2 linked regions of the Coturnix japonica genome follow. The protein of the gene in region 1 purifies or fractionates together with the protein of each later gene. This does not show direct contact. Links are inferred from orthologs where the notes say so. Each region holds a gene or a part of one and is shown on either strand. Other genes may lie near its edges. The genes, in order: cyclin-dependent kinases regulatory subunit 1 and CCNA2.

Region 1 (4,149 bases):
ATTGACACGGAGATCCATGGGACCAATTGACACAGAGATCCATGGGACCCATTGACACGGAGATCCATGGGACCCACTGACATGGAGATCCATGGGACCCACTGACATGGAGATCCATGGGACCCACTGACATGGAGATCCATTGGGACCCACTGACATGGAGATCCATGGGGACCCATTGACACAGAGATCCATGGGACCCATTGACACAGAGATCCATGGGACCCATTGACACGGAGATCCATGGCACCCATTGACATGGAGATCCATGGGACACCCATTGACATGGAGATCCATGGGACCCCACTGACATAGAGATCCATGGCACCCATTGACATAGAGATCCATGGCACCCATTGACACGGAGATCCATGGGACCCATTGACACGGAGATCCATGGGACACCCATTGACATGGAGATCCATGGGACCCATTGACATAGAGATCCATGGGACACCCATTCACATAGAGATCCATGTGACCCATTGACACAGAGATCCATGGGATCCATTGACATAGAGATCCATGGGATCTATTGACATAGAGATCCATGGGACCCATTGACATGGAGATCCATTGGGACCCATTGACATGGAGATCCATTGACATAGAGATCCATGGGACCCATTGACATAGAGACCCAGGAACAGCCCATGACGGACAGACATCCATCTGACAGACATCCATTGAAGCCTCAAAGCCGGTGTTTACCCACGGTAACCGGTTCTTTACCCCACTCGGTGCCGGTCCATCTCCGTTATGAGCTCCCCAATTACTATTAGCATTACTAATAGCCCCGGTTACCGGCAGCGGTGACACACACACCTATAACAACACTGGGAGCTCCGGGACTCCCGAACAGCATAGAGGCGATCAGCGGCTCCCCCACAAGCACCGGCAACGCTGTGACCCGTTAATACCCGTTAATATACCCGGTAATACCCGGTAATACCCGGTAATACCCGGTAATACACCCGGTAATACCGGGACCGGACATCCCGGAAGCGCCGTTTCCCATCTCATAACACATAACCCCCGCCATGTTCGGGTTCAACCCAACAACACCGGAAGCTCCACACGACCTCAAGTTGCGGCCTACCCCCACAAACCGGGGCCTACGGAACCACCGGGAACCCCCTAAAGGCCCGGACCGCTCCCACAGGCCCTACAGGCCTCATTACAGCCCCATATGAGGCCCACCCGACCTAAGATGACCCACATGCTCACCGGGGCACCATGGGTCTCACGCCGGTCTCCTCCGGTCCCGGCGGCCTCAGCTCCCAGCACCGAGCGCCCCTCCCCCCGCCACGCCGCCACTCACTTCCGGTCCACGCCCCCCGTCACGTGACGCAAGAACCCTAAAGGAGAATGGGGGGGGGTTGGTGAAAGGGCGTGTCTCTTAGAGCAATCAACCAATCAGCGCGCGAATCGTTAAGCCCGCCTTCTGGGAGCTGACCAATGAGAGCGCGGGGCGGCGGCGTTTGAAAGCACCGTTGAGGGGAACCGGAAGTGGAGGTGGGGGAGGGGGGAAGCAACGGCCGCCGTGGGGTTGAGGAGAGGGGGCGAGGTGGGGGCTGCCGGGAAAGGGGCGGACCGGGAACGGGCGGCAATGGCTCACAAGGAGATCTACTACTCCGACAAGTACTTTGACGAGCAATACGAGTACCGGTGAGGATGATGGGGGGGGGGAATGGGGTTGTTGTTTGATGGGGGGGGGGGTTTGGGTGGGGGGGGCACCGGGTTTGGGCCTAGGCCTGAGGGGGGGGGGGGGAATGGGCCTAGGCCTGAGGGGGGGGGGGGGGGAGCTGGGTCTAGGCCTGAAGAGGGAGGGGGGGCTCCGGGTCTAGGCCTGATGGGGGGGGGGGCACCGGGTTTGGGCCTAGGCCTGAGGTGGGGGGGGGGTAATGGGCCTGGGCCTGATGGGGGGGCACCGGGTTTGGGCCTGAGTGGGGTGGGGGGCACTAGGTCTAGGCCTGAAGGAGGGGGGGGCAAGGGGAGGGAGGGGAGGGAGGGGGGGGTTCCGGGTCTGGGGCCTGATGGTGGGGGGGGGGGAATAGGTTTTGGCCTGGGCCTGATGTGGGGGGGGGGGGGGGGGCACTGGGTCTAGACCTGAAGGGGGAGGGGAGGCGCCGGGTCTAAGCCGAGGGGGGGAGGGAAAGAAGGGAGGGGAGCTCCGGGTTTGGGCCTGATGGGGGCACCGGGTTTGGGTCTGACGGGGGGAGATAGGGTTTGGGCCTGAAGGGGTTGGGGGTAATGGCCTAGGCCTGATGCGGGCTGGGGGGGCTCCGGGTTTGGGCCTAGGCTTGATCGTGGGGGGGGGGCATCGGGTCTGAGTCTGGACCTGAAGAGGGAGGGAAGGGGGACAAGGTTTGCTCCTGAATGGGGAGGGGGCTGCACTGGGTCTGAGCCCGAAGGGGGAGGAGTGTGGGGGGACAGGGACAAGGTCTGGGCGTGATGGGGGGGCACCGGGTCTGAGCCTAGGACTGAAGGGGGAGGGGGATGGGCAGGGGTTTGGGCCTGAGGGAAGAGGAGGGGGGCACCGGGTTTGGGCCCGAAGGGGGAGGGCTGGGCACTGGGTCTGGGCTGGTGGGTGTGGGGTGGGGGTGGGTAACGGGCCTGGGCCTGGACCTGGACCTGATTGGGGGTGGGGGGTAAGCATTGGGTCAGGGCCTGTGGGCGGAGCACTGTGTCACTGCCCCTGGCTGAGCAACCCCTGTGACCACAGGCACGTGATGCTGCCCAAAGACATCGCCAAGCTGGTGCCCAAAACCCACCTGATGTCCGAATCAGAGTGGAGGAACCTGGGTGTGCAGCAGAGCCAGGGCTGGGTGCACTACATGATCCACGAGCCAGGTGAGCCCCCGTATGGCCGCCCTATGAGCCCCCGTATGGCCGCCCTATGAGCCCCATATGGCTGCCCTATGAGCCCCCTATGGCTGCCCTATGAGCCCCCTATGGTTACCCTATGAGCCCCATATGGCTGCCCTATGAGCCCCCTATGGTTACCCTATGAGCCCCATATGGCTGCCCTATGGGACGTGGGCTCCATACCCACAGCCTGGCTTGAATCTGTTCTATATCCTATATCCCCACAGAACCACACATCCTCCTTTTCCGACGGCCGCTGCCTAAGAAGCCAGAGAAGTGAGCTCTCCCCGGGTCAGCCACAGCCCTCGGCTGCCTGGGCTACAAAGCACCTTCATCATCATCATCATCATCATCATCCTCCTCTTCTTCCTCTTCTCTTACATACTCTGCTCTCAGGAGCTTCCCTGTCGGGGGCAGAGCCACTGGGTGCCCCTGATGCTCATGAACTCAGTGCTATCTGGGCACCTGCAGCGGCTCAGCCCCAGGGCACAGCGCTGCGGGGATGGGGTTCTCAAAAGCTTCAATAAAAGGATATTTGGGAGCTGCTGTGTGCTGCAATTCTGCCTTTAAGGGGGGGTGGGAGGCAGGAGGAGCTCCTGGTGCATAGCAACAGCCCTTCCCTGGGTGGTTTTGGGGGCGTGCTATTCCCTCCCCCCCCCCCTCCGTTACCCACCGCCCTATGGACCCTCCCCAACTCCCCCCCCATGGACCTTCCCAACCCCCCCCCATGGACCCTCCCCAACCCCCCCCCCATGGACCCTCCCCACCCCCCCTCCCCCATGGACCCTCTCCAACAGCCTCCCCAAGGGCCCTTCCCAACCCCACCCCCCCCATAGGACCCTCCCCAACCCCCCACTCCCCCAATGGACCCTCCCCCCCGGACCCTCCCAGCCCCCCCCATGGACCTTCCCAACCCACCCTCCCCAGCCCCCCCATTGACCTCTTCCAACCCCACCCCCCCATGGACCCCCCACCTCCCCCCATGGACCCCCCCACCTCCCCCATGGACCCTCCCACCCCCCCCACGGACCCTCCCCAACCCCCCACCACCCCCCACGGACCCTCCCCAACCCCCCCCACCCCCCCCCACGGACCGCCTCCCAACCCCCCCACCCCCCCCCATGGACCCTCCCCAACCCCCACCCCCCCCATGGACCCCTCCCACCCCCCCCCATGGACCCTTCCCAACCCCCACCCCCCCCATGGACCCCTCCCACCCCCCTCCCCCCATGGACCCTTCCCAACCCCCCCCCCCCCGGTGCACAACGACCCAAAACCCCC
Region 2 (4,396 bases), on another chromosome or scaffold:
GTTTAGAAGGGGTTTATCTCCCCTCTGAAGTGCTTCCTCCTGTTGAACCCAAGCTTAATTTCTTTCTACTTTTATGCTCTTAAGCTACTTAACCGCCTTTGATTTTTATGTTGTAAAATATCTTTGAGGAATTACAAGTTCAAGAAGGAAACGCGGACTTCTTGGTGCCAGAATACCGCAGTATTTTGGAAGAGGCAGATCAGCTGCTGGAGGAATACAAGAAACAACCTGCACATCTCGAGAGACTTTACGGTTTGTTGATCAATTAAACTTCTTGTCCTAACTGCAAATTAACGCTCAGAGAGCGCAACCTGGATGCTGCTGAAGTAGTTATGAGGTCAGCACTAGTAGAGCTGAGATGATTTGATAGGCTGATACACCTCAGTAGCTTTTTACATCTGTACGTTAAGCTTGTCTTTTTTGGCAAGACTGAGGGCTGTGAGTTGGGGTGGAGCTTAAGAATGTATGTATACCTGACTGATGGAGTTCCCAGCATTGAGGTGTTACAAAATAATAGACAAATGCACATGGGGTGGAAGGGGAGGATCTTAGGAGAGGAACTAATTGAGTGAAGGAAAGTCTGTAACCTTCTGTAGAGCTCCCTGTTCAGCTTTCAGCTCAGGGGCTCCCTGTCCTCACATACAGGGCCTGCTCTGTGAGGTCAGCTCCTTCCTCCATTCAGAGACAGGCACGTGTGAGGCAGAAATAACCACGTGGAAATTAAGCTGGTTGCTGGTCGTACTGACAACAGACATTTGACTTTTGCAGGTATGATCACTGATCTCTTCATCGATAAGTTTAAATTTCGAGGCACCAACGTGAAGAGCAAAGTTCCTCTGCTGCTGGAGCTGCTGGATGGCTGCGAGCAGGACCGGCTGCTCGCCTTCTTTGAGGCCGCGTCCTGAGCGGGACAGGACGGGCAGTGTGTGCAGTGTGTGTGTGCAGAGTGTGCTGCCTATTGCCAGGGGAGGGCAGTAGGCACTGGAGTTCATATATATATATATATTAGAATGGACACTCCATATATATAGAGTGCTGCACACAGCAATCTTCACACCTCCACTGAATATACACAGACAGCTGTATCCACCGGCCTTTTTCCTGTACTTTCAGTACAGTTAGAGACGATGCAGAGGGTAGGAATGTAAGAGCGATGTTTGTAAAGTACGTTTAGGATCCTGTACCTGAAGCTGCGAGTTTGTAATTAAAGCTAATTAAAGTTCTAATCCCAGCTGTGGTGTGGTGCGCTGCGCCTGCGCGGTCACCGGGCGGGGCGGGGCCAAGCGGCGCGCGGTGTGCGCTGCGCATGCGCGTTGCGGCGCTCCGGTCCCGCCCCCCGCGCGGCTGGTGCCCGCGTGACGCCTGGCCGCTGATTGGGCGATTCAATAGTCGCGGGCTGCTCGAACGGCGGCAGCGGCTCCGGGCCGCGAGACTGCGCGGCGGCGGGACGCCGGCTCACACCCGCACACACCCGCACATCCGCGCTCCGCGGCCGCCCCCGGCCCTTTCCCCCTCGGCCGCTTCTCCCCCCCCCCGGCGGGCACCATGCTGGCGGAGCAGGAGAACCAGGAGAACGTCCCCCCGCCCGCCAAAGCCCCGCCGCCCGCCGCCGGTACCCGCGTGGCGCTGGGGCTGCTGCGGGGCGGCCCGGCGCGGCCGGGGCTCGGGCTCGGTGCGCAGGTGAGCGGCGGGGCTTTGGCGGGGGGCGGCGGGCGGGCGCCATGTTGGGGCGTTGTGCAGCTGTCAGGGCGGCTGTCACGGCGCTGACCGAGCGCTCCCGCAGGCGGCGCGGAACGGAGAGGGCCGAGGCGCGGCGGCGGGGCGGCATCAGCCCTTCAGCGTCTACGTGGACGAGCCCGACGAGGAGCCGCGGCGGCCTCAGAGGAAGAAGGAGCGGGATGAGGAGGCGGCGGACGCGCCGGGGCTGCGGGCCGCCCTCGGGACCTTGGGGGAGCGGCGGCCCCTGGCGCCCCTGGGCAACGCCATGGAGCTCAGCCTCGGTAAGCGGCGGCACTGCCCCCTCCGCGCCCGGGGCGAGCGCCCGGCCCGCGCGATGTGGTGCCGGCGGCGGGACGCGGCCTGAGGCTGAGGAACGGGGCTGGAGCGCGGGGCTCGGCTGGAGGGAAGGGGGGAGTGTGTTGGGCAGCCGGGAAAGGGCTTCCCGGCCCTTCCTTAGTGGGGACAGCGGGGCGCTTCCTCCTTGAGCCATGGTTCGGCTTCCCCAGGGCCTGCTTGGCCCCCCTGCGTGGCCTCCCGCCGGCCAACAGCATCGCGCCTGCTGCACGGGGTTCTGCCGGGCCCCTTCTAACGAGGCCTTTCTCCTAGACTCCCCGAGTATCATGGATATCTCCATAACTTCAGAAGCAGAAGAGCGACCAAACGTTAACAATGTGCCAGACTATGTCAGCGATATCCACAAGTACCTTAGGGAAATGGAGGTGAGATGCCACCCGTTCTCTTGCTCGCATATTTGGGCTGAGTGTATCTGAGGATAAGTTACTGCCACAGTGACTGAAGTAAAGCTAGGAGTAAGTCCCCCTGCTTCCTGCTGGGAGGTTGGCTGCGCTCTGCACTGAGCACAAGCCACAAAGCACATGATGCAGATGTAACTTTCTGAGTCCAGATTGACCATTGCTTATTGTGACCTGTTAAAAACAGTCTGGGTATGGTAAATGGGAGTATGAGTGACTGCTTCCCTGCAGGCACCCAATCCAAACTCAGTCTTGTCTGTCATCTGAACCCACAGGTAAAATGCAAGCCTAAAATAGGCTACATGAAGAAGCAGCCTGACATCACCAACAACATGCGAGCTATTCTGGTGGACTGGCTGGTGGAAGTTGGAGAAGAGTACAAGCTCCAGAATGAAACTCTGCACTTAGCTGTAAATTACATTGACAGGTTTCTTTCTTCAATGTCTGTTTTGAGAGGAAAGCTCCAGCTTGTGGGTACTGCGGCTATGCTGCTCGCATCGTAAGTAAAAGTTCTTGATGGAAAATAACACCTACTGGTTTCATAGTGATGGAAGTCTTGTAGCTTTCATATGATAGCCTGTAATCATATTGTTTAGTAAGGGCTTTGTAATAGGTTGAAATATACAAAAGCTTGGCAGCCCATGTGAAGCCTTGCAAGTGAGATTCCAGGTTGTCTTTGTAGATTGGCCTAATGGGAGGATTTCCAGATGTAGGAGTGAAAGGCTTCACAAGGGAATTAAGGCAATAGTAAGAAAGAGTATGAAAAAGCTATTTAGTTTTCTTCTGGAATTTCAGTAACTCTTAAGTTCTAAATTACTTAGTCCCAAAATAACAGGCTGTTGAAACTCTTTAACTTCAAATTCAGGTGATTTGAGACCTATCAACCTGAGTGCAGCAAGCTTGCTCAGTCACTGTATCCAGCTACTTTGGAAGTCAGCACACAGTTCAGCACACTGGTTTTAATGAAGTGTTGCTGGTGGCCTGGTTCTCTAGTCCCTAACTGTTTGCTTCTGTTTCTCATGGCAGGAAGTTTGAGGAAATCTACCCCCCTGAAGTAGCAGAGTTTGTCTACATCACGGATGACACCTACAACAAGAAGCAAGTTCTGAGGATGGAGCACTTAATTTTGAAGGTTTTGTCATTTGATTTGGCAGCTCCAACGATCAACCAGTTCCTCACTCAGTATTTCCTGCACCAGCAGACGAACGCTAAAGTTGAGAGCTTATCAATGGTAAGGATTACTAGCTCAGTCTGTGGAACTGTAGAGTTCTGTTGTTAATGCATTTTACAAGAGCTGTTGTATGGGAAATTGGTAATCACAGCCTGAACCTCTGGTTAATCAGCTGAGGCAAGTGTTGGGGCAGCTGTGGGAGCACAGGTGAGAGTAATTTAGCTGTGCTCCAGGAAGGGATGGAGCTTGACTCCACCTTCTCTAGACCTCATTTAAGGGCTGACCATCACTAGGGCAGCATCTCTTGGAGATTGCTCCTTGGTGGAGATTGCTCCTTGGTGGAGATTGCCTCAGCATTTCCCAGTGAAGGCATCCATATCAGTGAGTTTTTCCTCATAAATAACCTTTTGAATGTTACCATCTTTGTATCATTCCACCTTACAGCTGTATTTGTACAGACCAGTGGTAAAGGGCTTTTTAGAGTGGACTTTTCCACCTCCTAATATGTTCAAGTGTGTGATCTCTCTGGGACACATCTGAGAAGTGCTCATGATGTGCCTCTGGCTCCTCCAGAAGCAGATCTGTACTGCTGGAAGCAATAGTGTCATTGCTGCTCTTTGAGACATTCCATTACTGTTACAGTCTGGTACTTGGCCTGGCTCCACATGAATGCTTACTCAAAGCAGGCCAAGACTGCTGCATTTTAGTTTGGGGTTTGTTTCCCTGTTAGGTATTCCCTGTGTTCCTGTCTAAA

Evidence for each region.
Region 2: the proteins of cyclin-dependent kinases regulatory subunit 1 (region 1) and CCNA2 purify together in Homo sapiens (affinity purification with western blotting; 7 studies listed by BioGRID and IntAct, counting the BioPlex papers as one, with this or other methods). This does not show direct contact. The link is inferred for Coturnix japonica from reciprocal best matches to the Homo sapiens genes CKS1B and CCNA2.

Annotation. Positions count from the first base shown.
Region 1 is NC_029540.1:1,427,734-1,431,882, reverse strand, and holds cyclin-dependent kinases regulatory subunit 1, read left to right. Parts: upstream 1-1,547; 5' UTR 1,548-1,609; coding exon 1,610-1,668; intron 1,669-2,725; coding exon 2,726-2,853; intron 2,854-3,095; coding exon 3,096-3,148; 3' UTR 3,149-3,409; downstream 3,410-4,149.
Region 2 is NC_029519.1:48,271,943-48,276,338, forward strand, and holds the start of CCNA2 (cyclin-A2), read left to right. Parts: upstream 1-1,530; 5' UTR 1,531-1,545; coding exon 1,546-1,680; intron 1,681-1,783; coding exon 1,784-2,000; intron 2,001-2,325; coding exon 2,326-2,438; intron 2,439-2,746; coding exon 2,747-2,970; intron 2,971-3,497; coding exon 3,498-3,702; intron 3,703-4,396. Other genes in the region: BBS7 (Bardet-Biedl syndrome 7 protein), read left to right, coding at 129-252, 769-905. UniProt on the Homo sapiens protein: Cyclin which controls both the G1/S and the G2/M transition phases of the cell cycle. Functions through the formation of specific serine/threonine protein kinase holoenzyme complexes with the cyclin-dependent protein kinases CDK1 or CDK2.